Macaca mulatta: one gene and its partners. The protein of the gene in region 3 interacts with the protein of the main gene of each other region in a pairwise test. Links are inferred from orthologs where the notes say so. Each region holds a gene or a part of one and is shown on either strand. Other genes may lie near its edges. The genes, in order: UPK1B, JAGN1, KASH5, SENP2, RNF146, BCL2L2 and EMD.

Region 1 (3,981 bases), on a different chromosome or scaffold from region 3:
CAAACTCTAGTTCATGCTAGAGAAATTTGAATTAACAAAGGAGAAAAAAAAGAAAAGGAAAAATAGGAGAGGAAGAAACGAAGAAACACAATATGCTATTGCCTTAGCCCTGACCCTGAAACTCAGAACAAGAACAGACACTTGCGTGGCTCAGAGTAAAGATGGGTGTGGAGACTGTAGGTCACAACAATTGCTGGTCTGCTTCAACTTAAGGTAGGATAAGTCCCTGGAAATAACAAAAAGAGGAGCTTTCTCCTAGGGCCATCACCCATGGCTCACAGTGCCCATAAGTTTTTCTTGCTTTAAAGCTCAAAACCTGTGTTCACTAATACAGTAGTTAGTAGTTGCGTGCAGTTATTCAAAGTCAAATGAATTCAAATAAAAGTAAAAACCAGTTCCTCAGTTGCTCCAACCACATCTCAAGCACTCCCCAGATACATGTGGTTAGTGTCTATTGTCTAGAACATTTCCCTTATCACAGAAAGTTTTACTGGACAGCACTACTCTTGATTCCTGGTGCTCCCAGTATGATGGGAGTCATCCATCTATTGGAAATCAGGGACTAGCTGTAAGCAATGGCTCAGGAGCACTCAGTTGCATGAAGGCCTCAGGTGTGGGCATTGCCAGAGGGATGCCCAGCTCCAGGAAAGGAGTACTGTGGAGAATCCTTGGGGCAGGGGGACGAGGCGGGGAGCATGGTGTGTGATGACGGTGCCCCTCACCAATGTGGTCTCTGTCCCAGTTGGCGAATGGTGGCCCATCAAGTTTGTGGGCGGCCTGCATGGCTATCAGGCCCAAATTCCAGAGCATATTTAAAGGCTGACTGGTGTTTACTCTGGTTAAGAACGTAAGCAGGAGAAGTCAAAAAGAAGTTCTGAGTTTTGGCCGGGTGCTGTGGCTCACGCCTATAATCCCAGCACTTTGGGAGGCTGAGGCAGGTGGATCACAAGGTCAGGAGATCCAGACCATCCTGGCTAACACAGTGAAACCCTGTCTCTACTAAAAAATGCAAAAAATTAGCCGGTCGTGGTGGTGGGCACCTGTAGTCCCAGCTACTTGGGAGACTGAGGCAGGAGAATGGTGTGAGCCCGTGAGGCAGAGCTTGCAGTGAGCTGAGATCGCACCACTGCTCTCCAGCCTGGGAGTCAGAGAGACTCCGTCTCAAAAAAACAAAAAACAAAAAACAAAAACAGTTCTGAGTTTTTTTTTTCTCCTTGATTAAAGGATGTCTAAGGTCCCCTTTGAATGTAAAAGTCTATGATTCTTCCCAGCAGTTAAAAAAAAATATATAGGTGAGTTGATTTTAAAGACTATTTTATAGCAGAAAGCAAAACAATCTGTTGGAGCGAAAGTAAAGTAAGAAATTTTTCTCCTCACTGAAAAGGTTAATAAAAAGAAAATCCACTTCTTCACAGGGTCTGAAAACTATGTAACCTAAATTTTATTTATACTGAAAGTATATATATATATCTATAAAACCTAGCGAGTTATTTCCTGTTGTGCTTAGCAACTCAGGCAAGAAATGGTCAAGAAACATTGTCTTTCATTAAAAGAAGACATTCGAGTTAACAAAACTTCTTTAAAAATTTATTTATATATTTTTAGAGACAGGATCTCACTATGTTGCCCAGCCTGGACTAGAACTCCTCATCCCATGGCCTCAGCTTCTTGAATAGCTGGAACTGGAGGCATGTGCCACTGCAACTGGCTATAAATTCTTAAATGGCTTAAAAATCTTTAAAACTAGTTAGAAATAGAGTTTTAGGTTTATAAACAAATGCAAACATAAAATAATACTAGCATTATTTGAAACTTAAATTTGTATTTTGTATGAAAATGTCATTAGAACGAAAAATATCTTTATGTCCTGCACATCCTTGTGGAACAAAGAATTGGTAAGGAGTAAAAACAAATTATGTAAAAATAACATTGCATAGATAAAGCTACTTTGTTGACTTACTTCAACTGACACATTTATTAAGCAGAAGTGTTTGCAGAGAATAACTGGGAGTAAATTGCCTCACACATTTCATTACAAGTTGGCAGGACCAAATGATTTCTGACAAGAAGACCAAGAAACTTTCTCTCTGCTAGCCTGAACGGATTATTCAGAAATGACACGAGCTATTTCGTTAAATTTTCTATTGCTTTTCTGACTCCACAAGGAAATTGGGGGTCTACAAAGGTGTCTGTCTATGTGCGATTTAATCAGGAGATACGGGGTTTCTCAGGTGCTTGGATTTTCTTGTTCTTTCTTTGGGGATATTTCAGGTTGAAAGCAGGATGGCTGCGTAATATCTCCAGAACAGAACAAGACTTATATCAAAGGTTTTAAGAAAGCAATTTGAACGGTTCAAAGTAAAAGAGAACAGGACAGTCACAATACCCTAAATTACAAAGAAAAAAAATGACAGACTTTATGAATCAGGAATCTAACTTCTTCCCCTTTCGCTCCCAGACCACTAGCTTCCCTCCCAGGAGAGCAACCCAACCCTTGAGCCCGCGGGATTCCCTGTAGAGGGAAAGCAGTCTACTCACAGCGCCTCCTCTTTCTGCACACAGGGTGCGGCCCGCTCCGCAGTCTGCACCAGCCCCAGGTGCTTTTCTACCCTCCTGCAATCCTTTGAACCTCCAGGACCAGGGAAGGGTGGTCTGTGATTGGCAGGAGGCACCTCACATGGGCTGAGCTTGCCGCTGCCTGCCCTGCCTCGCTGAGACGGGGGAGTAACCGGAGACTGTCAGTAGATTTCTGCTGCTTTGGAATGTGTGACTCTGACATCTGGAAGCACCTTGACAGCCACACTCATTGCTTTCCTAGATCCCTCCTAGGTCTGGACTTTACTGGAATACAAATTCAGGGCTTTTATTTTGATTTGATTTGATTAGTGTAATTTGATCCTTACTCCTGCTTTTGTGTGTTGAAGGCTTGTTAGTCCTGACTGCTCACAGAGATAATGATATGTGCTTACCTGTGCAGGGCCATGTCCAGCTTTAGTTTCTATAACCCTTGCATATGCCAAATTCATAGCAATAGTCATTGCCCAAGTAATGCTCATACTGTAGGTAGCCCAAAGACCAATAAGGAGCAAGAGATGTGGAAAGAAACAGATTGAGAAAAATTCAGGCAAAGAGAGAGGGCTCAAGTGATTATCTGATGTCCAATTCTTCTCTTCCCTCTTCCTTCCTCCCTTTCCTTTCTCTTCTCTTCCCTTCCTTTCTTTTTTCCTTCTTTCCTGACTTCCGGAGCCATCATGTGTTATACATGGCACCCAGAGCATCATTTTAATGGCTGCATAACCTATCGTAGTATACATGCACCATAGCTTGTTTAACCTGAGTTAGGAGTTGGTAACAGCAGTAATGTTAGAATTTACTGAGTGCTTTAATCAATAGACTTGGGAGTTCCTCAAGGGTCAGCATCATCTCTGTCTCAGGTTAGATTGTTCAGGAGCAGACTTTGAGACAAAATTTAGTGTTCAATATATTTATTAGGGAGTGCCCTGAGAGGAACACCCATGGCAGGGACAGGGAAGAAACAGGACTGGGCAGAGAAAGAAGTTGAGCTGCAATATAGGTGGGACAGTCTGAAGCAGTCCCCCTTGGGAAACTCTGGAGGAAGATGGCCTGTCAATGTAGCTCTGCCACTGGGCTCCTCTATCATCTGCCCTTCAATGTGGGTTGCCCTGGGAAGGCAGCTTTCTGTAGCTGAGGCAAGTCCTGAAAGGGGCTGATAACTGGAGGCTGGAGGTTGCAAGTACTCCCAGCAGCAGGGCAAGCTCCCCCTTGAAGGGGACTGCATGGAGCACCTCTGTGTCCATCACAATGCCTTATTCCTCTGCAGCTCTCCAGGGCCTGATTAGATAAATTATCATATTTCACACAATGGAATTCTGTGCAATGGTTAAAAATGACACCACAGATAAACATTTAATGTCATGGAAATAAGTTCAGTCATTTACTTAATAAATATTTATTGAAAAC
Region 2 (4,163 bases), on a different chromosome or scaffold from region 3:
GAGAGACTTTCCTAACCCTCCAGGTCAGGGAGAGAGGCCTCATTTTTCCTCCCTCAGCCTCCTGTGTTTTCTTGTATTTCTTAGCTTCATGGGTACAAGTTCTTCCCCCGACTGGGCTGTGATCCCTCAGGGGAAATGGACCAAGTTTATTTCTGTGTCTGCAGGTCATAGCACAGTAACCTGGTGCATGGTGGATGCTCAGTATACATGCTTTTTTCTTTCTTTTTTTCTTTATTCGGATAACATAACTTCTTTCTTTAAAGTTTTGCTTAGTATTTTGTTGTTGTGGTAAAATGCACACAACATAAAACTTACTATGTTAATCATTTTTAAGTGTACGGTTCAGTGGCATTAAGCACACACATATAGTTGTACAATCAACACCACCATCCATCTCCAGAACATTTTTCATCTTCCCAAACTGAAACTCTGTATCCATTAAACACTAACTCCCCATTCCCTGTCCATCCCTCAAGCTTCTGGCAATGGTCATTCTACTTTGTCTCTACAGATAAAGTTTATTTGGAAATAATTTTTCTTTCATGGCCTTGACATTTTTGAAGAGTACGGTCCAGCTCTCTTCTAGAATGTCCCTCCGTCTGGATTTATGTCATTTCTTCATGATTAGATTCAGTTAGGTATTCTTCGGAGAAACATCTTAGAAGTCATGCTGTGTCCTCAGAATATTAAAAGAGGCACAAGATATCAGTTTATCTCATTATTGATCAAATTAATTATTTGGTTAAGGAGGACAAGCCAGATTTCCTCACTGAGAGGTTCCCGTTTTCTCTTTGCAATTATTAAATGTGAGAAACTTATTGTGAGACGGAGTCTCACTCTGCACTCTGTCCCCCAAGCTGGAGTGCAGTGGCACATTCTCGACTTACTGCAACCTCTGCCTCCCTGGTTCAAGCGATCCTCCTGCCTCAGCCACCCAAGTAGCTGGGATTACAGGAACCCGCCACCACACCCGGCTAATTTTTGTATTTTTAGTAGAGACGGGATTTCACCATGTTGCCCAGGCTGGTCTTGAACTCCTGACCTCAAGTGATCCACCCACCTCGGCCTCCCAAAGTGCTGGGATTACAGGCGTGAGACTGTGATGTCTGCTCCAGGGAAAGTCACAGAATGTATCAGTTTCCACCTCTGTAAAGTGTGGACAGAGGTATCCTAAACTGATACTACAGTTTAAGAAAGTAAAAGAGTTCAAGCGGCCTCTGAGCGCCAGCAAAAACACGCTGAGTCTGTGGATTAATTTCCTCCGCTCTCCACGGGAGGCGGGGCTGGGTGGGGCGGGGGCGAGAGGGAACAAGGGCGCCTGCGCTGAGAGGAGTGACCACAGAGTCGGTCCTCCTGAGACAGAGGGGCCGGAAGTTCTCTTCACAGAGTCGCGCGGCTGTGGTGGCGGCGCTGCGGCGGCGCAAATAGGGTCCGTGGGCCACTTGGCGCTGTCGTTGCGGTAGCAGGTCCGCGTGAGGGGTTCGGGGGTTCTGGGCAGGCACAATGGCGTCTCGAGCAGGCCCGCGAGCGGCCGGCACCGACGGCAGCGACTTTCAGCACCGAGAGCGCGTCGCCATGCACTACCAGATGAGGTATGAAGTGAGGCGAGGAGCACGGAGGTTTTCTCCCCGGCCGGAGCCTGCGGGGCTTGGGGAGCGACGCCGGCCCGGCCTCAGGGTCTTGCTCCCCAGCCAGCCCCCGCGCACCTGCCAAGTCCCCTCTTCCCGTGACGGCTTCAGGCCTGTCCCCCATCCTGGAAAGCCCCGTCGCCCCCGCGAGCTCCACCCCTTGATCCGCCCGGTGCCTTGAGGGGATCCAGCCCCGCGTGGACTCCCGAGTCACGTCGATGCTGGCCCTGCTGTGTCACCTTCGAAACCGAATTTCTGAGCCTCAGCTTCCTTATCTGTAGAGGGAGAGAATAATCTGCCTTTTAGGTTTTGGTGAAAGATTAATCAGTAATTCGTATAAAGGAAATAGCGTAAGGCCTACCGCGTAATATATGGTAGGTGTTATATTTTGGGCCGTTTGGGGGGATATAGACAGTAAAAGGCAGCCTCTCCTAAGGATGCCTTGCCTAAAATGAATTCTATAAACACTCCCACGTAAGGAGTATTTCTACATTCGATTACTAGTTCGACGGATACTGAACTTCCAACCATCATACACTGCTAGACACTAGGTTATAATAGCAAAAGCAGACATGGTCTTTGTATGCATGCTATACCTTCAATAAACAATTTTATTTAAAAAAAGAAAAGAAAAAAACTGTTCCCTGCCTTCATGGAGCTTGAAGTCTAGAGGTAACTTTTTTTCCCCCCAACTTTTCCACATTTTCTACAATAAATATTTTTAAATAAAAATTTTAAAATGTTTACTTCCTTAAACCCATTGACCTCTCCCAGAATGTTCTTCATATCTTTCTCTCCAGAGTTTTGAAGAAGGACAAGCTCTTTGAACCCTCATTTCTTTCACATCTCTAGGCCCCGGCTGAAGGGGCCTCACAACTTAAGCAGGTGTTTTCATGACAGCCCAGAGTGGAAACATTGCCCTTAGGGATATGAGGAGGATACATTTGGGACCTGAGAGAATTCGAAGAATAAGATAAGTGTGTACTTACTTTAGATGAAAAATCTGGCTGGAGAAGTATGGGCAGCCTGAGTACTTTTCCTCTCTGCCAATACCTTCCCCTCCAGGCTTTAATCCTATGGTGCAGTCAGAGTCCTCTTGCTAAACACAGCTCTGAGTTACCCTTCTGCCTTATTATTATTATTATATTATTATTTATTTTTGAGACAGAGTCACGCTGTGTCGTCCAGGCTGGAGTGCAGTGGCGCGATCTCAGCTCACTCCGCCTCCCGGGTTCACACCATTCTCAGCCTCAACCTCCCGAGTAGCTGGGACTACAGGCGCCTGCCACCACGCCTGGCTAATTTTTTTGTATTTTTAGTAGAGACGGGGTTTCACCGCATTAGCCAGGATGGTCTCGATCTCCTGACCTCATGATCCACCCGCCTCACCCTTCCAAAATGCTGGGATTACAGGCGTGAGCCACCACGCCAGGCTCTACCTCTTTATTACTAGTATTTTTTTTTTTTTTTTTAATAGAGATGGGGTCTCATTTTGTTGCCAGGCTAATCTCAAACTCTGGGCTCAAGCATTCCTGCCTCAGCCTCCCAAAGTGCTTGGATTACAGTTGTGAGCCACCATGCCCAGCCTCTTCTGCCTTTAACTCTCATAGCCTTTGTGACTTCATATCCCACTACTCCTCTCCCCCTAATAATATGTTCCTGCCACATGTAACCAGTTGCTTTCTTGGAACACAAATACTTGGGCCTTTTTGCTTGCATGCTCCTGCATGGGATGCCCATCTTCACTCAATCCTGAGGCTAGTTCAAATATCACCTGCCTCTAGATAGTCATCTCTGACATTCCATGCCAGGCAGAGTCGATTCCTCCTTCCTGTGGTCTCATATATCTGGGAACATATATTTACTAGAACTTTTTCACTTCATCTTCTAATTATTTTTTCCTCCTCTGCTCTTTGTGCTAGGCTTCTAGGCTGTTTTATTCAAATTTGTATCCCAGTGTCCAGTACAGTTGCCTGGCATATAGTTGGTGGTAAGAAAAATTTGAAAGGTACTTCTCCCTCTGCTCTGCCCCACAGTGTGACCCTCAAGTATGAAATCAAGAAGCTGATCTACGTACATCTGGTCATATGGCTGCTGCTGGTTGCCAAGATGAGCGTGGGACACCTGAGGCTCTTGTCACATGATCAGGTGGCCATGCCCTATCAGTGGGAATACCCATATTTGCTGAGCATTTTGCCCTCTCTCTTGGGCCTTCTCTCCTTTCCCCGCAACAACATTAGCTACCTGGTGCTCTCCATGATCAGCATGGGACTCTTTTCCATCGCTCCACTCATTTATGGCAGCATGGAGATGTTCCCTGCTGCACAGCAGCTCTACCGCCATGGCAAGGCCTACCGTTTCCTCTTCGGTTTTTCTGCTGTTTCCGTCATGTACCTGGTGTTGGTGTTGGCAGTCCAAGTGCATGCCTGGCAGTTGTACTACAGCAAGAAGCTCCTAGACTCTTGGTTCACCAGTACACAGGAGAAGAAGCATAAATGAAGCGTGTCGGACTGCGCTTTAGAGTGAAGCCTGGAC
Region 3 (4,146 bases):
CCTGAGAAGCTGGGACTACAGGCCCCGCCACCTCACCTGGCTAATTTTTTGTATTTTTAGTAGAGACGGGGTTTCACCATGTTAGCCAGGATGGTCTCAATCTCCTGACCTCGTGATCTGCCCGCCTCGGCCTCCCAAAGTGCTGGGATTACAGGAGTGAGCCACCGCACCCGGTCCATGACCACTTTTTTATGAAGCACCTCCTATGTGTGAGGTCCTGGGGATATAATGGTGAGCAAACCAGCCAACTAAACCCAGGCACCGGTGGCTAACTAGATAATCAGATTTCCTTTGCAGGTAGATGTTCCAATGGAAAGGCCTACAAGTCTAGGAGTGAGCATGGGAAGCAGGGAACTCTAGCCAGGGGCATACCAGGGCTTCCCCTTTGCCAGAGGTGTGAAGGATAACGGCCTGGAGCGGTGGCTCACGCCTGTAATCCCAGCACTTTGGGAGGCTGAGGCAGGTGGATCACCTGAGGTTGGGAGTTCGAGACCAGCCTGACCAACATGGAGAAACCTCGTCTCTATGAAAAATACAAAATTAGCTGGGCGTGGTGGCGCATGCCTGTAATCCTAGCTACTCGGAAGGCTGAGGCAGGAGAATCGCTTGAACCCAGGAGGCGGAGGTGGCGGTGAGCTGAGATCGCGTCATTGCACTCCAGCCTGGGCAACAAGAGCGAAACTCTATCTCAAAAAAAAAAAAAAAAAAAAAAAGGCTAGGGGGTTGGGGAGTGAGGAATGGAGGGGAACAGCCTGAGCAAGGGCCTGTGCTGGGCAGAAGTGGGGCACATTCGAGGAAGGGCAGCAAGACCAGTGGGCCTGCGAATGCCTGGACTAGAGTGAGGAGGGGGTGATGTTAATGATGATGGAGCAGAGGTAGGTGGGGCCTTGTAGGCCTCTCTGATAGGGCTGGTGTGAGGAGGAAGAGTTGGAAACCATCCTCTGAAGAAAAAAACCCCAAAGCTCAGGGAAGGAAGGGACGGAGGACCTAGAAAGTCACACTCACAGCTCTAGGCTACAGTAAAGGTCCCTGGTTCCCACCCTATCCCTTGCTCTGCCCTGAGTGGTAAGTTCCCACACTGTCTGACCCAGGGCCTGCCTGCTTCATTCTATATATAGCAATCTCACCAGATGGCAGTTGCTGGGAGGTCAGGGCTCCCTCGAAGGCGGTCTCCTCTTCCAGCTCTAATCCCCTGTATCAAAGGGATGAGGCTTAGAGCCCCACTGTAGCCGCCCCTCAGTCCTCACCAGCCACAGGCAGGGGGATTGCAGGTGGGAGGAGGGGACCGGGTCAGGTGAAAGCTGGCACCACAGGGTAGGAGGGTGAGGCCAGATGGCAAGTGCCTGCGGCCAGATGGAAAAGCAGGAGGGGCAAGGAGTGGGTTGGGTGAAGGGATGGCGAGGGACCTCTGCCAGCCCCAAGCCCCTCCCTTCTCCAGCCCCATTTTATTTGTCTCCCAGACCCCCTCTGCCTCCTCATCCAAATTATTTTGTCCTCAGACTCCCTATCTACCCCCTCTGAATCCCATCTCTTCATTTTTCTCTCCACAGCCTCGTTCCAAACACAGTAGGTCCTTGGGCCTAAAGGATGCTGGCTCCAGTAAGCAGGTATGAGGTTAGATCTTAGGAAGGACTTCCCAGAGGAGAATGAAGGTGTGGGGACTCACCCGTGTAGTTGACAGGCAGCAATCCAATCACGCATGACAACCAGGAAAGTGTCCAAGTCCACAGTGGCGTTAGGGCCCTCCCCATTGGGGTCCAGGCTGTTGGCCAATGTTTGGAGGCGTGCATCCTGGGGGCCCTGGCCTGTCACCGCCTCCAGGTAGGCCAGCACCTGGGTCACAGCCACAGTGCCTGGGACAGAGCATGCAGTGAGGGGGTCTGGGGCAAGTGGGGAGTGGTGGGTATGGACTGGCAGCAGCTTGGGAGCAGGATGTCACTGGCTAGGCTGGTGGCACTCCTGCTCCATAGCCCAGTGGAGACACACTGGGCAAGCCCTTTCCCCTCCTCTGAGTCTACTTTTTCACCTGGAAATGGGGCCCAGTCATCCCCCTATCACAAGGTGAACCAAAGGGGATGGACATGGGGACAGCACCAGCCATGCCCCACTCCACCATGGTGGCTGCCTCCCTCCCCCATCCCACGACCCCAAAACTCTACCCTCTTCCATCAATGTCCCCCAGGTTTTCCTCATTCTAAAAGGCCTTCACTCTGTTATCCACTTTCTTCTTCCTGAAGCTTCCCAAAATCACCTACTTTGTTCCTGCAATACCCCCAAGAGGGGCCCTAGCCCAGTCTTCTCCCTGAGGCTCCCCAGTTCCCAGCCTCCACCCCTCTCCCGCCCGCGCTGGTCCCTAGCACCCCTCCTGCCCCACCACCTGTCCTCTGAGGGTCACAAGCTTCGAATGTGGAGTTGAGTATTTGCTCCTCCAAGCTGACCGGCATCCCCAGCCTTGTCTCCTCAGGCTGCTCCCAGAGGTACACTGGGGAGACAAGAGGGTTCAGCTCACCAGTGAGAAGAATGAGGAAGGAAGAGGGGTGACCCCAGGTCCTCAGCCTCCTGGGCTCTGCAGAGGGGAGGGAATTCACTCAGAGCACCTAGAGTTAGGGCCAGCGGGGAACAGCAGGAAGCTTCAGGAGGGGGCAACAACGTAAGGGTCTCTGAGTTTCTTCCCCCCATCTTTCAGACCAGGAAGTCCCCCCGGCTGTCTTTTTGTGTCCAATTGGCTTAGGAGCCCAGAGAAGGACACTCTGAGATCACCCTTTCCTCCTCTCCTCTCCAGCCTCCCAGGCTGGACTCAGAAAAGGACAGGGCGGGGGAGGGCAAAGAAGAGAGGATTCTGGGAGGAGCTGAGAGTGAAGGGGGGCCCAGGAGCCAGGAACAATCCAATAATGCGTGGGCAGCCCAGATCGATCCCGCCTGCTGCATCTCCGGTCTCCCAGCCCACCCTGGGGACCAGGTCTCTCTCCTCCCTGCATCCCTAAGGCGAGGCTGGCATCATTGGAGCCCATGGCCGGGGGCTGAGACATGAAGGGATGGGGTAAACCAGGCAGGGTGGGCAGTGAGGGAATGGCTATGAGCTGGATCAAACCATATGCGTGTGTCACATAGACCTGGGTGCAGAGTCCAGCTGCACATCTGTGGGCAAGTCTGTTCTCTCAGAACCTCAGTTTCCCTACTGGTAAAATGGGGGGTGGGTGGGTAGAGTGATCCTCCTCACCAGGGCTGAGTTAGCTCTGTGTATGTGAAGCACACATGTGTACACACACACACACACACGTCCTGGGGTTTATTTGTCTACTGTTGTAGCCACAACACCTGCACATAGTGGGTGCTCAACAAATGCTCCATGACATAGGAAGAGATCCTCAACTGCAGAAGCCACTGGGACTGGCCCAGCCTCCCTCCCAGGGCTGGAAGTGACCTTCTAGGCTCCCTGCCCTGGCCTTGAACAGCTGGGTGCAGCAGCTCACTGAGCACAGGCTGCAGGACTGGGTAGATCCAAGGGGTAACTAAGGCTTGGCCTCAGACAAGTGGCGGCACTTGGGGCAATGGACTCAACTTCTCTTGGGCCTCGGTTTCTTCCTCTGGAAAATGGGGTTGGTGTTACCTCTTTCCTAGAGAGAAAATGAGATAAAATCTAGAAGGGCTTTGGCAGAGGGCCTGGCATGTGGTGGGGACTCAAGAATAGAATTGAACACTTATTGAGCATTTAGTAGGTGCCTGGCCTTTTCTGGGCACTTTACATGAACTGTCTAGTAGCATATTAATAATCGATGCTATTATAATCCCTACTTTACAAATGAGGGGACCAAAGCATAGAGAAACTAAGAACTCAGCAAAGGTCACCCTGTTTAACATATGAGTCAACTTTCTCATCCCTCTAGCTCTTCCTGGGTTCTTCGCAGTGCATGACATTTACATTCCCTCTGGCTTGAACCCACGCTCCTAGGTTTGGCCCTTGGGAAGGGGCGTGTGAACTCACAGTTAGGGAAGACCAGGGCTTTAGCCCCAGTCTGTTTTCCTCCTCTCGCTGTCTTTTTTTCTGAGACGGAGTCTTGCTGTGGTACCCAGGCTGGAGTGCAGTAGCGAAATCTCCGCTCACTGAAACTTCTGCCTCTGGGGTTCAACCAATTCTCCTGCCTC
Region 4 (3,500 bases), on a different chromosome or scaffold from region 3:
TCAAAAAAAAAAAAAAAAGAAGAAATTATTTTCTTCTAAATATATGCTTCCTCCCCCAGCACACAGCTTCACTATTTTATGGATCTCTCTCTCTCTCCACCTGCATGCCCAATATAACAGTAAGTATTCAAGAGATTTGCCTACTAGGGCAACATTGTAGAGGAAGCCAAGATGTGGCACATCTTTAAGAATTTTAACTACCTTCATTCTTCATGTTCTGTAAGTTTTTATTATTTTCAAATGCAATAATCAGCAAAAGGGGCATTTTAGTAAACTGTAACCACTTTTTTAAAAAATGCAATGAACTTATTCCTAATACCAAACCCATACTATATAACTCAACATATTTGAAGGTTAGAATTTACAAAGAATCTGTTGTATTCCAAGATATGAGATGATTGTGTTGACTCACATTTGCTAAATATCAATCTGATCCCTTAGGCCACTAATGATCATGACTCACTAAAGATCAATGTAGTCAAAGTGAATAAACAGACTATGGACCTGATTTGTTTTCATACATTCATCTCTAGTCTGGAGAAAGTCCTCAAAACAAAATATTCAAGTTTAGAATAACTGAGGTTATTTAAAGACATGCCTCTTTTTAGGATCAATACAAAGAACAATACCTCTGTGAGTTCAAGGAGATCGTCCGTTCTTCTGTCCCTCTCTTTGCCTGAGCAATTCTTTTCCTTTGTCTCAATTGACACTTTCCTCCTGAGTAAGCCATTGCTTCCGCTGCCCAGGCGGAGTCGGGCCGACACTTCTTCTGATAGGTCGGGCTCCAGTTGGTATCCCCTCCTCTGATCAAAAAAGTATCTAAATTCTACTGACATGTTTGATACTTGCAAATATAAACACGGATTACACATGAAATATAAAACTGCCACTAATGTGAAAGAAAAGAGAATTAGCAAATCCCCCAAGTGAGTAGATTTACCATATCTGTCTGTCCCTGCAAGGGGGAACAAAAAAAGCTCCAGACCTAGGCCTCACAGGACCCTCAGTTACAAACCATGAAACAGAACACTCACCACCTTCCCTGGAAGTAGCAAGAAAAGTATTTTCAGTTCTCCTATCACAATTAAAAACAGTATGTTTAAAAGATATTATGAAAGTTTTAAACAGCAAAAAATATGACCCACAATCCCATCACTCAGAATAAATCCCTACTATCTTTACCGTAACTAAACTTGGTTCTAGTTCATCCTTGTAAAAAGTCATTTTATATGACAGAAAATGCACAAAACATTAACATACCACTTACTTCATTTTTGTAAAATGAACAACTATATAACCACAATTGTGGTAAACAAATAGAATTCTGCCAGCACCCCAGAACATATCATCTCTTTCCAGAGATGTATGACTTTTAAGAAATTCTCCCTAAGAAGCCATAAAATGTAGGTAATGTGTTGGTATGGAGGCAGGTTGGTCTCTCATAAACAAAGGTGGCTACTGTAGAGGCAAAACTCCAACAACTCAGAAGGCAGAAAAAAGTTGTGTATTTTCAATGTTTCCTGTTGCTTTGTTGCCTTTTTTTTTTTTTTTTTTTTTTGGAGACAGAGTCTCACTGTGTCACCCAGGCTGGAGTGCAGTGGTGTGATCACAGCCCACTGCAGCCTTGACCTCTTGGGCTCAAGCGATCCTCCCACCTTAGCTTCCCGAGTAGCTGGGACTACAGATGTGCCACCATGCCTGGCTAAGTTTTAAATTTTTTTGTGGAGACAGTCTCACTATGTTGCCCAGGCTGGTCTCAAACTCCTGGGCTCAAGTGATCCTTCTGCCTTGGCCTCCCAAAGTTCTGGTATTACAGGTATGAGCCACTGTGCCTGGCTGGCTTGCTGCTTTTTTAAAGAAAAACAACAGAATTAACAATCAAAGTAACACACATATATATATACTTTTTCTTGCTTTTCATGGGCACCAAAACATAAGTTATGTAAGAACACAGATATCAAATGTAACGGGGATTTTCACTTACACTTTCATTTTCAAATCTAATTCCGATCATCTTCTCCGTATCAGAAATTTTCCCCTTTGAACACCTAAGGAAACAAATTGAGAGATGACAGACTTCTGCTAGATGACTTACATCCTAGTTTTAGAAATAAGATTTCATAATTTGTAAATAAAAATTGCCTTGAGTTTATACAATACTCTAAACCAAGAGTCGACAAACTTTTCTGAAAAGGAACAGACGGTATTTTAGGCTTTGCAGGTTTTATGGTCTTGGGCACATCGTGGCAACTCTGCCACTGTAATTTAAAAGCAGCCATAGATAGTGTGTAAATGAATTCGCATGTTCCAGTAGAAATTTACTATACAAAAATAGGTAAGTAGACCAGATTTGGCCCATGGGCCATAGTTTACAAACTCTGCTGTAAACCATCATCCCAAAATCCTAAAGCATGCAGAGCTGCCTTTACTGTTCCTATCCTAAAAACACTGATCACTAGACATCCCCACACCAACCAAACTCCCATCTAAGAAGCATGTGTTTCTCCCAACCACTGATGCCTGAGAGATAAAGGGCACCCCCCAACCCACCAGGCTAGGGTGGGCATCTGACACAAGAGCTAGCTACCTATCTACCTAAATATGCTGACCAACTACCAGAACTCAAGAGAGTTCACAGTTCCTCAGAACTGCTTACTCATAAATATGGCTTAGAAAATAAGAAAATATATATTAAAAGAATGAACTGAATATACGTACCTCTTTTCACTTCTCAATGAACATAGAGGTCCCTTTGTTTCAACAAGTCTATCTGTGAGGATGGTAAAGAAAAGATTAAATGTTTCCTTCATTAATGAATAATATAGTTAGAATTTCAGGTTACAGAGTTTCCACAATGTCAAGACATTCCTATACATTGAAATGCTACAGTGAATTCCAAAGACACTAGCCTCCCTATACACTAAGTTGCCTAAAAAAATGCATACATATCTTTGCTACATATCTTTGTTGTTTAAATATAATCTTTACTATAAACTGAGTGATATCTGCTCATTTGGTAAGCTGTCATTTAGTGGACAGTAAGTGGAGAAATATAAGGAAATTGTTATATAGGGAATATAATAAAATTTCAGCTCACAAAAGAGTTGCTACTATCTAGCAGCTTAAGGATAATTATCCAGAGCCATGTTATGAATCTACTTCACCTTGAAACAGCTGTTCTACTAAACTCCTAGATAAGCCCCAGTCAATGCTGTGAGGTTTTTTTGTTTTTGTTTTTTTGAGACAGAGTCTCGCTGTCGCCCAGGCTGGAGTGCAGTGGTGTGATCTTGGCTCACTGCAACATCCACCTCCCAGGTTCAAGCGATTCTACTGCCTCAGCCTCCCAAGTAGCTGGGATTACAGCCAAGTGTCACCATGCCTGGCTAAGTTTTGTATTTTTAGTAGAGATGGGGTTTTACCATGTTGTCCAGGCTGGTCTTGAACTCCTGACCTCAGGTGACCCACCTGCCTTGGCCTCCCAAAGTGCTGGGATTACAGGC
Region 5 (4,171 bases), on a different chromosome or scaffold from region 3:
GGTAAATTCTAGATTACTGTGTCAACCTAATATTTTCTATTTGGCCATAGATGTAAAATCTACCAAATAAAAGTGGATTTTGTGGTCTACAACATTTTGTTTAAAGTGAATTCATGTCTGCTAACACTGTAAGTCTGCCATTTAATCCAGAGTGTTAGACTACTAATGAATATGGTAAGGAAAATATAAAATATTAATGGTATCTGCTTTAATTTTATTTCCATATATATTTATTATATACACACTGCCTATAGGTTCTGTTTAAATAATAATCTGTTAAATAAATAATCTCTTAAGAAAAAAAATCAGACTTTTCTGGGCAGGTGATTTAAAGCTGAAAACAACCAATTAAAACTACCACTTTTTAAGTGACCTTTGGTCACAAATGTCAAAATGTTTCCACACCCTTTCCACACTCAAACAAGAGACAAATTGTTTTTGATAAACTCTAGTATTTATTAAATTATAAATTTTGTAATCAAAAAGAAAAATGCTGACCAGAAAAACCTCAAACTATAAGACTAGACAGCAAAGCCTATGGGAACGCCATGAAGTGTGTTACAAACATTCTGAAACATAAGTTACTGGCTGTTTTCATTTCCGTATCAATAACTTTACTATAAAATAGTAGTTATTCATCTATTTTGAAATCCCAAATTCACATCTATTCTTACATTAAATTATGCTTCCTGCTCATAATATCAAACATCTCACAGGTGCCAAATTTTAGTAATGGTCTTATGCCAATCCATGCAGAAAAATAAGACACAATGCAGGAGTCAGATGAGGACCATTAATGCACAGATAATACAAACACACTGGCCAAAAGAACTACAGAAGTTTTTAAAAACTATAAAGTAAACAGACCTCGAGAAAACTGGGTTATTACTAAACAGCTCTCAACTATTAACACCCAAGTTCCTTACATTAAATAAATTTCTCAACAGAGACATGTTAGACATTTTGATTACGGGTCTATCCTTCCCATACCCCTTCCCACCCCAACTCCCAAAATGCACTACTAGGGATGAGTATAATGTTATGTGGGCAGAAATTTACAGGTAACCTTTTCAACCTTGAGCATGGAGCTGAAGACATTTTTATTTAAACTTCAGTTACTGTGCACTGTCCATCAGGCCTTCTAGATCTGACACTGACACTCACTGTTCCACCCCCTGCTACTGATCGATCAGTTCCCGATTGATCTGATCGATCGGATACTGTCTGGTTTGCATTAGAAACCAAAAGTCTCTGTTGGGTCAAGGAGTGCTGTGCAACAACTGCAGATGATACATTCTCACTATCACTACTGGCATCTGATTCAGTTTCTTCAATGGAGGTGTCTGGTGCTGGTACCCTGCCTGAAGATGGTGATTCATGATCTTCTTCTCCTTCTCCCCTATGACTCCTTTCAGCTATGCTGTCTCCACTGAGTTGTAAATGAGCAAAAGAGTCTTCCAGAGAAGTGCTTGCATCAGGGGATGGTGTTGCAGGGCTTGTTAACTGACCATCTACTGACGTTAGGGGCCTTACAGAAGACACTAGGGGCTGAACAGAAGCTCCACTCTGTGCTGATACACTGTCCGCTCCATCAGCAGAGCTCTCTCTTGCTAGGTTTACGGTATTAGCATCACAGTCTAGCCTAAGTCCAGCTACTCCCTTCTTTGGTATATCTATTATATCTCGCTTAATCTTCCTGCGACGTCCATGTTCATTTCTCCTATATTGAACCATGTTTTCAAGATCAGCGACATACAGAAAGCCAGCAATTAACATTTCAGTGTTCTTTTTACCTTTGGAAAAAGCATCTTCCAGCTCTCTACTAGTGCGCTCATCGTACTGCCACCACCCATTTCTTCCTTCATAATACCATGCATATTCACCATTTCCTCTACTTGCTGCCTTGAGTTCTTCTGGTGACAACAAGGTTGGCTTGTCAAGGAAATCCTCGGGAATTTCTTGTCGACAAAGAGCACACCGCTTTCCAAGCCATGAAGCTCCTTTTACACATAGATAGCAGAAAACGTGCTTACAGGGCAGACTGACTGGATGAACACATGTTTGCAGACAAATGGCACATTCAGGGACGGTTAAAGAAGGTGCAGTATTAGAACAGGACTCGTTTGCTTTCCTGTTTGTAGGAAGCATGTTTATTGAATGATCAATTTCACCACAGCCAGCCATCCTAAGAAAAAATACATAAAATATTAAAGTCATGTTTTAATTCTTGCAATATCTTAATTCAACAATTATGAAAATACTAACCACCTATTATGTGCATTATATGCAAGCCACATTCTAGACAATGGGGATATGAAGATGAAAGTAGAAGAAAAACTCTCCAACCAATGAAAACGTTTTATAAGCATTTACTTGTACATACTTTGGGAATGTATAAAAATTCCATCAGTGCACTTACAGATCGGCCCTGGAGAAACACACTGAAGAACTATATAATGAAAAGCTGCATCCAGTGGAGGGAAAAAGGATCATGGCAGCTATTATACAGTGAAATGAATGCTAGACAAGAAATCTAAAAATCTGAGTTTTAGAGTTCTTTATTAACTATGTGCTCTTAGGCATGCAGTTCAACCCTTAGTCTAAATTTCCTTACCTGCAAATCAGAGTTTACAAAGCTCAGGTAAAAATGAACAAAAAAAGTGCTTTGTAATCACTAAAGCTTCATAAAGGTAACAATCACATAAGACCAAGGGAGAAAATAACATGAATATTGAAGATGCCCTGAAGAGGAGGAAGAAAAAAGATTTGTCAAATTGGATGTATCCAGCTTAAACACTGACATAAAATTTATAATTTCTGCCTTGCTGATTCAGATAAACGTTTACCAAACACCTACCATGGTCTAGATACTAAGTACTGATGGGTCTAATGATAAATAAGACACTCAAGTACTCTGTTAAATAAGGAAACAAATATGCAGATAATTACAATATGGCCTGATTCCTGCATAATCAGAATGTATTAACATACTTACAAAAATAACAATGAGAGAGACAGAGATGAGAGGATGGACATAGGTTAGAAAGTTTAGTGTTCATTCAGAGGGGCCTGGGCAGTGGAGCAGATTCCAGGCAGAGGCATGTGCAAGACACTGAGTCAAATAGTCATACAAGCAATGGAAGAGCAGGAGATGAAGGTGTAAAGATAATCAAAAGCCAAGTCATGAAAGCCTTATTGTGCCCTGCTAAGGAAACATTTAATTTTTTTTTCCCCATAGTTAAAAAAAAAAAAAAAATTAAAAGGGGAGAAAATAATAGAGGGAGGAAACCACTGATAAGTAAAGAAGACTGAGAAATGAAGATGAAGATGTGAGAGATTAAAGCTTAAAATGCATGACAATCTTTGTGCCAGCTAATTCTGCCATTCTAAATGGGTCCAGTAGTTACAAAAGATATAGTCACTAACAATGCTTACGCTCATCAAAAATTGAAAAACAATAATCCTAGGCTATCATCACAGCACATCCAATCTTAAAACAATCCTTTTTTTTTTTTCTTTTTACAGCCTTTTCTGTGTTCTTGGTTCCTCAATAGACAAGGCTCAAAAAGATGGCAATTTTCTAGTAAAGGAAGCAACACATTAAGTTTTTAAAAAGATGGCACATATTTAGTAAAGGAAGCAACACAGTTTCAGTGGAAGAACTGATCACTAAAATGCTTAATTTCCAAATTATTTTCAACTTTTAATAACATTTCCAATCAATTCCTTTACCAAAAATTCTAGGTTATAGACATCAAGAAAGTACAACTTTTTCCTAACCTATGGAAAGTTCTAAGTCAGGGGTGTCTAATCTTTTGGTTTCCCTGGGCCACACTGGAAGAAAACGAATTGTCTTGGGCCACACATAAAATGCATTAACACTAATGATAGCTGATAAGCTAAAAAAAAAAAAAAAAAAATCACATAATGTTTTAAGAAAGCTTATGAATTTGTGTTGGGCTGCATTCAAAGCCACCCTGGGCCGCATGTCGCCCACAGGTTGGATAAGCTTGTTCTAAATAAACCCTAATAGGACGTCTTAGTATGTTAAGCACTATAAAAGCTTTCACATATTTTGAGATAAACACTTGCCTTCAAAGATCTTGTAACTTGAAGCAACAATAAGTTACAAACTAAGGCATATGTTTTTTAAATAGCCAATTAACATTCC
Region 6 (4,185 bases), on a different chromosome or scaffold from region 3:
CAGAGCCCTCGGTCTGGATACAATGTTTCTCTCTAAGCCTTGAGGCATCAGGACAAGGGCAGGGGAAAGGAGGGGTTGGGAGGAGGGACAGAGAACTGCCCCTAGTTCTTGCCATTGCAAGAGGGAATGTTTTCTCCTTGAGGAATCCCACCACCACCAGATTTGCCAGGCAGCCCAGCATGCACACCAGCATGCGTGCACATGCACACGTGTGTCCAAGCAGCCCACTGTTACAGCCACCTCTCCCTATCACCTGAGAACCCCCAAGCTTCCATTCCAAAAGGATGTGCCTTCTGCGTTCCCCAAATCCCACTCATCTAATGGAATACAACTGCTTATGCAAGTCCACCTTCCTCAGGGCTGCAAACCAAGTTCCAGGTCATTTCATGTGCCCACACCTATAGGTGTGATCCCTCCCACATCCCCCAGCCCTGGATCGACTCCATCTCCTGCGTCCCTAAACTTGCCAAAACATTTCCCTCACCTATGTGTCCTGCTCACTCTTCCAATCGCCTACCTGGCCTACTCAGCTGCCTCACACACTACCCTTCCCCTGCCCATCCTGTTCCATGCCCACCCATCCACCAACTCCATTTCTTCCAAGGGCATTTCTCTGTTCTGTTCCTGCTCTCCTGGCCCCCAGCCACACCTAGCCCCACCTGGCCCTGGACTTTCACTTGCTAGCAAAAAAGGCCCCTACAGTTACCAGGGCCCCCAGTGCCACGGCCCCCGTCAGCACTGTCCTCACTGATGCCCAGTTCCCCTCCCGCAGACGCCGCGCCTCCTCCAGGGCCCCGTCCCCGTATAGAGCTGTGAACTCCGCCTGTGGGAGAGAAGGGAAGTAGGAGAGAAAGAAGGAGAAAGGGATATCAGGAGAGGAAAGAGTGGACAGAAGAGGAGAGGAAGAGTTCCAGTTCCATCCACTGCCAACACTACCCCATACCCAGCTCCTCTCTGGTCAAAGCTCTTCTGGCTGCAAGCCCCTCTGATCCCCCCAGGTGCACCCCCACCCTGAGAGACTGGTTCATTTGCCGCCCACTCTGCCTCCAGTGAATTCCATCCTTTCCTTGGCGAAAAATTCTGCTCAGAACTAGCATCCTTTGCCAAGGCTTGCCTGACCACCACCCATCCCTGGTCCTCCCCACCTCCCACACCATGACTCAGGTGCAAAAAGTCCCTGACAACATTCCCCTGCAGGCACTCCTTGGGTGTGGATTCTGTCCTCTGCTTGGGACCATGAGCCCATCCAGTGTTGACTGCATGGCAGCCCTGGAGTGCAGAGTCCAGGCATCTCTCAATCTGATTCCACCCAGACGGGGAGACTCAGCCCCGCACCTCATTCCCAACATAGCTGCCTCAGTCTCCAATCAGAGCTCCCATCTTCCCCCTGGAAACCAGCTTTGCAGAGGGATGTGCAGAGCGGCAATTGAGAAGCTTCTTACCCAGCCCCCACTGCTGTGGATCCAGTCAGCCAGCCGCGTCTCCAGGTAGGCCACCATCCACTCCTGCACTTGTCCCACCAGTGGTTCCATCTCCTTGTTGACACTCTCAGCACACAGTGCAGCCCCAAAGACAAAGAAGGCTACAAGGCGGCCCCAGTTGGGGCCCCCTTGGAAAAGTTCATCGGAGACCTGGGTGAAGCGTTGCTGTGCTGAGCCTGGGGTCACATGCAGCTGAGCCGCCAGATCAGAGAAGGTGCGCCGGAAGCGGGTCTCGAACTCATCTCCAGCTGCCCGCATGGCTTGGTGCAGCGGGTCAGCTGCTGGGCCCTCCCCGGGGCCAGCTCCACAGACATAACCCTTCTGCCTCAGCTTATAACCTACAAAGTCTGCCACCAGAGCCCGTGTGTCTGGGGCCGAGGCTGGGGTCGCCATCCGGGCAGCTATAAGAGGCAAGGATGAAACACTGGCATGAATATATGGAGAGAGAATCAGAAGGGGCATTTCTGGTTTGACCAACCCAGTGAGATGAGGAGGAGAGAAGAAATGCTCAGAGCTCACTGGACAGGGAGAGGCAAGAACAAGGGAATTAAGTCATGATATGAGACCAGGCTGTGAGGGGCTGGCCATTACATTCCTAATATGCCAAATTACATTTAAAACAAGTACATTTTCTGTTTAGAGATACTTTAGATTCTTTTCATAATAAGACAACGTCAGCTCTGTGACACCCCTACAACCCTCCCACCCCTGGGCCTCCTTAGTCCACACCTCCTTGGCTAGAGGAAGGGGCTTAGGACCTCCCCAAATGCAAGATATAAAGATGTTGGCAGAGGCACAAGATGAGGGGGAGCAGATGGGCCGAAGAGAAAGGTGGGAGACGCAATGGTTTACTCCAGACAGAGAAAGGAAGGAGACACTCACCCAGCCGGGATGGCAGCTCTTAAGACACAGCACTGGTGGCAAGGAGCCCCCAGCTGGGGCCTTTCATCCTCCCGGCCAGCGTGGAGCTCTGGAAAGGGGAGGGGGAGATCAGAACCAGGAGGGGAAGGCCAGGGATCAGGTTCTGGCCTGGGAACGGCTAGGGTTGCAGCTCTGGGCCTGGGCCCCTGCCCCCAACGCTCTACCAGCTGTGTGGCCGAATCCATGTTTAATGACTGTCCTCCCGGGAAACCCAGGGCCAAGGGCTTCCTGCCGACACCATCTGTATTCGCGGTTCCCCCTAGTGCAGCCCAAAGGCCCAACTCCTCCCTTACCCCCACCTCAGCCAGTCTCCAACCCCGCCCGCCTGCCAGGTTAGGGATCTCACGGGTCAGGCCGCTGCCGGGATCCGGGCCGTTTCCTGGTGCAGGAGCTGGGAGGGAGGGAGAGAGGGAGGAAGGGAGGGAAGGAAGGAGGGAGGAGAAAGGGGGGGCAGAGGGAGGGCCCGGCGCCGGGTGATGATGGGGCCCAAAGATGCGTCCAGAGAGAGGGGCGGGGCTGGGACGCAGGCCTGCGAAGGGCCACTACTCAGGAAGAGGGAGGGCTGCTGAAGGCAGTGAAGGGCTGCCTGAGAGGGCACGGTGGGCTGGGCTGGGCTGGGCTCCTGAGCCTCGAGGCTGCCCAGAGAAATATGCCGGACTTCAGGACATCTTGGGGCAAATTTAGCATTTCCAGGAGGTTTCCGATGTTCCATGCACTTGTTGAACTTTTCCAGCCCTGAATTGTGTGCCTGGAAAACAGGAGCAGTTCCCATTAAGCTGGGAACCGTCTACTAGGTGCCTTACCCTTTTGGGACTAGCAGACACTACACAGACACCAAACCTTTCCCATCTTTTCTCCAGGACCTTTAACCCAGTGTTGTCTTTGTGGGCTGGGCTTCAGCCAGGCATCAAGGAGCCAGGACTTGGATCACAAGCAGTTTCTTCCGGTACTTTTCTTTAATTCATCTTCTTTTGTAATCAGATTGATTTTAGTGGTTTTTTTTCTTTCTTTCTTTTCTTTTTTTTTTACCCAACACAGGAACTAATTCTCATTGTGAAAAAAATCAAACAATAAAGAGGTATGGAGTAATAAAATACAGGTTCTCAAACACACACACACATACACACCCAATTCCACTTCCCTCCCTGCAGGTTGCCATTGTTAAGCTTGATGTTTATCCTTCCAGATTACATATACATGGGGCCATTATTTATACATGGCAGTATATTTATACAGGGCGGGTCACAGGTGTGAAGCAATCTGACCACAGCTGATCCACATGAGAGCACTCACAGCCAGCCCCCTGGGCTCTTGGATCTGGCACTTTCTTCAGCTCCATTTAAAAAGCAACCCAACCAAAGGCCAGAAAGAGGCGACCCAGTTCTCCTCTTCTGCTAGTACCCTTTGCTTCTACCTCCAAACCAAGCCTCTGTATTACCATCTGCCCTTATGGTCACTTGAGAAGTAAGGTCTTTTCTGCAGCAATAATAGTAACAACTAGCTGGGTTTGGTGGCTCACACCTGTAATCCCAACACTTTCGGAGGCCAAGGCGGGTGGATCACTTGAGGCCAGGAGTTTGAGACCAGCCTGACCAACATGGCAAAACCGCATCTCTACTAAAAATACAAAAATTAGCCAGCCTGTAATCCCAGCTGCTCAGGAGGCTGAGGCATGAGAATCGCTTGAAACCAGGAGGCTGAGATCATGCCACTGCACTCCAGACTGGGTGATAGAACGAGACTCTATCTCAAAAAAAAAAAAAAAGTAAAAACATATTTTGAG
Region 7 (4,171 bases), on a different chromosome or scaffold from region 3:
CGGGTTCCCGCCATTCTCCTGCCTCAGCCTCCCGAGTAGCTGGGACTACAGGCGCCCACCACCTTGCCTGGCTACTTTTTTGTATTTTTAGTAGAGACGGGGTTTCACTGTGTTAGCCAGTATGGTCTCAATCTCCTGACCTCGTGATCCGCCCGCCTCGGCCTCCCAAAGTGCTGGGATTACAGGCTTGAGCCACCGCGCCCGGCTGCTTTGCCTGAATTTCTAAGTGGGTTCTCTGTATACGCCTTGTTGTACCACAATTATATGTATAAGCAGTTACAGGTGCTTTGGGGAATGAGTTAGGGAATAAAACTCCCAAACAAAACACAAACATCTCTGGGTAGCATTTGATTCCTATCCCCAGACCAAAGCAAAAATGCGGACCCAACAAAGCCAGATTGCAATCCTCGAGTCCCAAGACGCAGAGGCCCTTGCCATGGGAGCCCAACCCTCTCCTCCAGGAAGAGCCAACGCATTAAAAATAAATGGGGTTTTTATTGTGTGTCCACGAAAACAAAGGGTGGCCTTTGGTTAATCCCCCCCAACAAGATGACAAAAAGGAGGCATGCATGACAACAAGAACCATGTTCTCCTCTGACTGAGCGAGGCCTTGCCCTCCTGGACCCTAAGGGTTACAGGCAAGCAGGGCCAGGAGGCTGCCGAGGAAAGCACACTCAGGCCCCCATGGAGGGCCTGAATCTGCTGCCTCCCTGGTGGGACAAGGCAGGGGGAGCAAGCACTACTCTGGGCTAGGCCCAGCGCCCCCCAAGCAAGAACACATAAAAGCCCCTGCCCCTGCCCCTGCCCCCACCCCCACCCCCACCCCCACTGCTAAGGCAGTCAGCCAGGACTTCCCCAGAAGACCTGGCTCTGAAGCCCAGACCCTCATGGCTCCCTCTGGAAAGGGTTGCCTTCCTCAGCCTGCATGAAGTAGTAAATGAAAAAGAGGACGATCACAAAGACCAGGAAAAGCAGCAGCTGGCCCCAGAGTGGGACCTGGTGATCCTGGCCCAGCCCAGCCCCAGGAGCATGGTTTTCAGGCCGGATGGCACGGCGGGTGAGCCATGAAGAGGAAGATGATGAGGAGGACATAGAAGAGGTGGAGGAGGAAGTAGGATAATAGGACAGGTCCAGGGAGCTCCTGGAGGCTGAAACAGGGCGGTAGTGCGCGATGCTCTGGTAGGCACTGTCCCGGCCGTACATGGGGCGTTCCCTGAGGCAAAAGAGGGGAACAGGTGGGCCAGGAGCCTGGGTCCAGAACCAGCCCCTGTCCCTGGCCTTCCCCATACATACATACCTATCCTTGCACTCCTCTTCAGAAGACGACAAAAGGTCGTCATCACGTACCTGTAGAAGAGAGTCAAGGTGAGGGAACTGGCTGGCAGGGCCACAATGGCCCTGCCACGTCCCTCTCAAATTTCCCCAGCAGGTCCCCTCTGACCTTTGGTTAAAGGCCAGGGACCCACACCCTCCTGAATGACTCTGGGTGTTCGGCCTTTTATCCATGGGGCCTTGCTACTTGTGCTCATGCCCCAGCACCCCCCTTTGCCCCCAGGACTCTCAGGAAGAGCTGGAGCCTAGATCCCAGACCAGGGTGCAGGACGCATCCTATGTGCTCTAGTCACATAGTTCTGAGGGCTCCCCAAAGTAGGACCCTGACCAAACAGGTGTCTGCTGAGCCAAAGTCTCCCCAGAGGCCCAAGGGCCACCATTTGTACCCAGTGGCCCCCTGGATTTATCCAAACACAGCCGCGATCCCCTAGGTTGTACCCAAGTACAGTACGCCTGCCAACCAGCTCACCTGGTGGTGGAAAGTGTCAGCATCTGGGAGTGAAGTCACAGACTGGCGGAAGCCCCTGGACGGGCCCGCAGACTCGGGCTCCCCATAAGTCCTGGTAGTGAAGTAGCTCTCTTCATAGTAGTCGTCATTGTAGCCTTGGGAAGGGGGGCAGCGGTAGCAGAGGGGGCATCGGTGTGCCCCGCCTGGCCCGATGGCCCTAATCTGAATCCCATTTCGGGACCTGTGACAGTTTCTCCCTCCTAAGGCTGCTGGAGTGGTTGGGACTGAGGTCTCAGGTCCTCCCTGTGAGCGGGGTCCCTGACGCAGTCGGGTGAAGGTGCCAGCGTGCCCACCCAACCCCTGCCTTACCCTTGCTCTGGTAGAGTAAGGCGTCCTCTTTCTTGGGAAGATCATACATATCTGAATCCCCTGACGTCGAATTCAAGTCTGGATTGAAAGGAGGAGACAGAACTGTTTGCCCCCCCACCCCCACCCCCACCCCAAGACTTCCCTCCCCTTTCCCCAGTGCCGCTCTCGACCGGCACCCCTGCCACACCCTCGCTACCTCATCCTCCCCGCGTCCCAGGCCGTCCCCACAGGCGAGGCTCTCACCAGAGAAGCGATAAGAGGAGGCAGCGGACGAGCCGGGGGGCGAGAGCCGCCGCCTCTGGGTCTCATACTCGAAGATCTTCTGCTCGTAAAGCCTACGAGTTGATCCTGGCCGGACACGGGGCGGTCAGGGCCGCGGTCCGGGGAAGGGGCGCGGGGAGGGCAGCGGGGAGGTCGCGGGGCGGAGCACGAGGAGGGGGCCCGGAAGGGGTCCCGCCCGCCGCCGCGTACCTACTACAGGCCCGTGCGGGATGTTGTACCGGCGCAGCAAGGCGGTCAGCTCGGTATTTGAAAGATCTGCGTAGTCGTCCATGGCGGGTGCGGGCTCGGGCGGAGGCCTGGCGGCGGCCCGGGCCTACCAAAACCGGCCGAGCAACGGCTGCCTAGGAGCACGGCGGGGGCGGCACGAGTGCATCGGGAGCGGCCGCACTCGCGTCACAGCCGAATCGCTGTCGCGTCACGGCCGCTGGCTTCGCAGGCTGCGCGCGCTGCGCTGGGCGGGACCTAACGGCGGGAGTAGCCGGCACAGACCGGCCGGGCCTTGAGAGCTGGGAGGCTGGGGCCGCGAGCCCAAACGTCATCAACTCACGGATTGGCTAGCGGCAGAGGGGGCGGGCCCCCGGGAGTCAGGGTGGTGGGAACCGGTCTCGCGGTGGGAGCGGGCGGGGCCGCAAGCCCATATGTCACAAACACGGGAATTGGCTAGTGATGGAGGGGGCGGGGCCCGCGCAGGCGCGGAGCAAAAGGTCTTGCGTTGGGAGCGAGCGGAGCGGAGAGCCCTTACGTCACAAACATGGGGATTGGCTAGCGATGGAGGAGGCGGGGCCCGCGCGGGCGCGGGGCAGAAGGTCTCGCGGTGGGAGCAAGCCGCGCCGCGAGGGGCGCCACACGTCACTAACGCACGGATTGGCTAGCGGCGTAGGCGGCGGGGCCCGCGCGGGAGTCAGGGCAATGCAAACTGGTATCGCAGTGGGAGTAGGCGGGGCTGCGGGCCCAAAAGTCACAAACGCATAGATTGGCTAGCGGCAGGGGGCGGGGCCCGCGCGGGAGTCAGGGCGACACGGCTGGGAGCCAAGACGTCACCCTGTGGCGCGCTTGAGCCAGCCGGGTGAGAGGGATGGGGCCTGCGCGCTAGGGACCCGGGACGTGCGAGCGGGCGAAGTCGGCGCTTGGGGTGGCTCTGGTCCCTAAGTCACTTGGACTTCGCCCGGTCCCTGCACATCCCTGCTCCCCGCCGTCGCCCCCCTTTCCTGGGCCCCAGAGCCTAGGGTTTCCCGGCCGCATCCCGGTCGGCCGCCCCGGCAGCGGACCCTAAGAGAGCGCGGGCCCGGGGCCAGGCACTGCCGGGGGCGCTTTGTGTGCGCATTGCTCGGGAAGCGGCTGCGGGGCAAGGCCCGCGCCTATGGGATCTCCGCAGACCCCCTGCCACGGGCCCTTCTTCCCAGTCTGCAGGGCTCTCGCCCGCGCACATGTGCCTGCTGCTTCCCACCGCCTACCTCTCTGCTTCCCTTCCTCCTCCCTCACTCTACCCGGGAGGAAATGGGGCACTGGGCCAGGAGGCCGCTGGCACTCCAGAAGCAAGCAGCCTTCGAAGGGGCCCGGGCATGCCGACGGGCACGCCAGTGGGCGCGGGCAGAGGGCGCCGTGCGATGCGTACAGAGACAACGTGTGCCCGCCTAATCCTTCATGCCGTTCATTCACCCGGGGCACTGGGGGGAGCTGCAGCGGGGCGTCCTCTCCTGTCGGAATAGTCCCTGAGGGCAGCGTGTCTAGGCAGGGGGC

Evidence for each region.
Region 1: the proteins of KASH5 (region 3) and UPK1B interact in binary tests that used the Homo sapiens proteins (3 or more experiments, as listed by UniProt). The two-hybrid records come from large-scale screens. The link is inferred for Macaca mulatta from reciprocal best matches to the Homo sapiens genes KASH5 and UPK1B.
Region 2: the proteins of KASH5 (region 3) and JAGN1 interact in binary tests that used the Homo sapiens proteins (3 or more experiments, as listed by UniProt). The two-hybrid records come from large-scale screens. The link is inferred for Macaca mulatta from reciprocal best matches to the Homo sapiens genes KASH5 and JAGN1.
Region 4: the proteins of KASH5 (region 3) and SENP2 interact in binary tests that used the Homo sapiens proteins (3 or more experiments, as listed by UniProt). The two-hybrid records come from large-scale screens. The link is inferred for Macaca mulatta from reciprocal best matches to the Homo sapiens genes KASH5 and SENP2.
Region 5: the proteins of KASH5 (region 3) and RNF146 interact in binary tests that used the Homo sapiens proteins (3 or more experiments, as listed by UniProt). The two-hybrid records come from large-scale screens. The link is inferred for Macaca mulatta from reciprocal best matches to the Homo sapiens genes KASH5 and RNF146.
Region 6: the proteins of KASH5 (region 3) and BCL2L2 interact in binary tests that used the Homo sapiens proteins (3 or more experiments, as listed by UniProt). The two-hybrid records come from large-scale screens. The link is inferred for Macaca mulatta from reciprocal best matches to the Homo sapiens genes KASH5 and BCL2L2.
Region 7: the proteins of KASH5 (region 3) and EMD interact in binary tests that used the Homo sapiens proteins (3 or more experiments, as listed by UniProt). The two-hybrid records come from large-scale screens. The link is inferred for Macaca mulatta from reciprocal best matches to the Homo sapiens genes KASH5 and EMD.

Annotation. Positions count from the first base shown.
Region 1 is NC_133407.1:164,549,299-164,553,279, forward strand, and holds the start of UPK1B (uroplakin-1b), read right to left. Parts: upstream 2,801-3,981; 5' UTR 2,539-2,800; intron 1-2,538. UniProt on the Homo sapiens protein: Component of the asymmetric unit membrane (AUM); a highly specialized biomembrane elaborated by terminally differentiated urothelial cells.
Region 2 is NC_133407.1:148,701,607-148,705,769, forward strand, and holds the start of JAGN1 (protein jagunal homolog 1), read left to right. Parts: upstream 1-1,363; 5' UTR 1,364-1,503; coding exon 1,504-1,592; intron 1,593-3,664; coding exon 3,665-4,127; 3' UTR 4,128-4,163. UniProt on the Homo sapiens protein: Endoplasmic reticulum transmembrane protein involved in vesicle-mediated transport, which is required for neutrophil function.
Region 3 is NC_133424.1:61,819,252-61,823,397, reverse strand, and holds the start of KASH5 (protein KASH5), read right to left. Parts: upstream 2,801-4,146; 5' UTR 2,680-2,800; coding exon 2,598-2,679; intron 2,483-2,597; coding exon 2,378-2,482; intron 1,854-2,377; coding exon 1,667-1,853; intron 1,193-1,666; coding exon 1,128-1,192; intron 1-1,127. UniProt on the Homo sapiens protein: As a component of the LINC (LInker of Nucleoskeleton and Cytoskeleton) complex, involved in the connection between the nuclear lamina and the cytoskeleton.
Region 4 is NC_133407.1:97,766,956-97,770,455, reverse strand, and holds part of SENP2 (sentrin-specific protease 2), read right to left. Parts: intron 2,771-3,500; coding exon 2,719-2,770; intron 2,049-2,718; coding exon 1,985-2,048; intron 804-1,984; coding exon 630-803; intron 1-629. UniProt on the Homo sapiens protein: Protease that catalyzes two essential functions in the SUMO pathway.
Region 5 is NC_133409.1:32,293,843-32,298,013, reverse strand, and holds RNF146 (E3 ubiquitin-protein ligase RNF146), read right to left. Parts: upstream 2,684-4,171; 5' UTR 2,615-2,683; intron 2,186-2,614; coding exon of another isoform or gene 2,185-2,185; coding exon 1,105-2,184; 3' UTR 501-1,104; downstream 1-500. UniProt on the Homo sapiens protein: E3 ubiquitin-protein ligase that specifically binds poly-ADP-ribosylated (PARsylated) proteins and mediates their ubiquitination and subsequent degradation. May regulate many important biological processes, such as cell survival and DNA damage response.
Region 6 is NC_133412.1:96,405,983-96,410,167, reverse strand, and holds the start of BCL2L2 (bcl-2-like protein 2), read right to left. Parts: upstream 2,801-4,185; 5' UTR 2,567-2,800; intron 2,452-2,566; 5' UTR 2,364-2,451; intron 1,883-2,363; 5' UTR 1,875-1,882; coding exon 1,443-1,874; intron 824-1,442; coding exon 674-823; 3' UTR 1-673. UniProt on the Homo sapiens protein: Promotes cell survival. Blocks dexamethasone-induced apoptosis. Mediates survival of postmitotic Sertoli cells by suppressing death-promoting activity of BAX.
Region 7 is NC_133426.1:160,532,518-160,536,688, forward strand, and holds EMD (emerin), read right to left. Parts: upstream 2,801-4,171; 5' UTR 2,703-2,800; coding exon 2,621-2,702; intron 2,498-2,620; coding exon 2,393-2,497; intron 2,228-2,392; coding exon 2,150-2,227; intron 1,936-2,149; coding exon 1,802-1,935; intron 1,348-1,801; coding exon 1,298-1,347; intron 1,214-1,297; coding exon 886-1,213; 3' UTR 479-885; downstream 1-478. UniProt on the Homo sapiens protein: Stabilizes and promotes the formation of a nuclear actin cortical network. Stimulates actin polymerization in vitro by binding and stabilizing the pointed end of growing filaments. Inhibits beta-catenin activity by preventing its accumulation in the nucleus.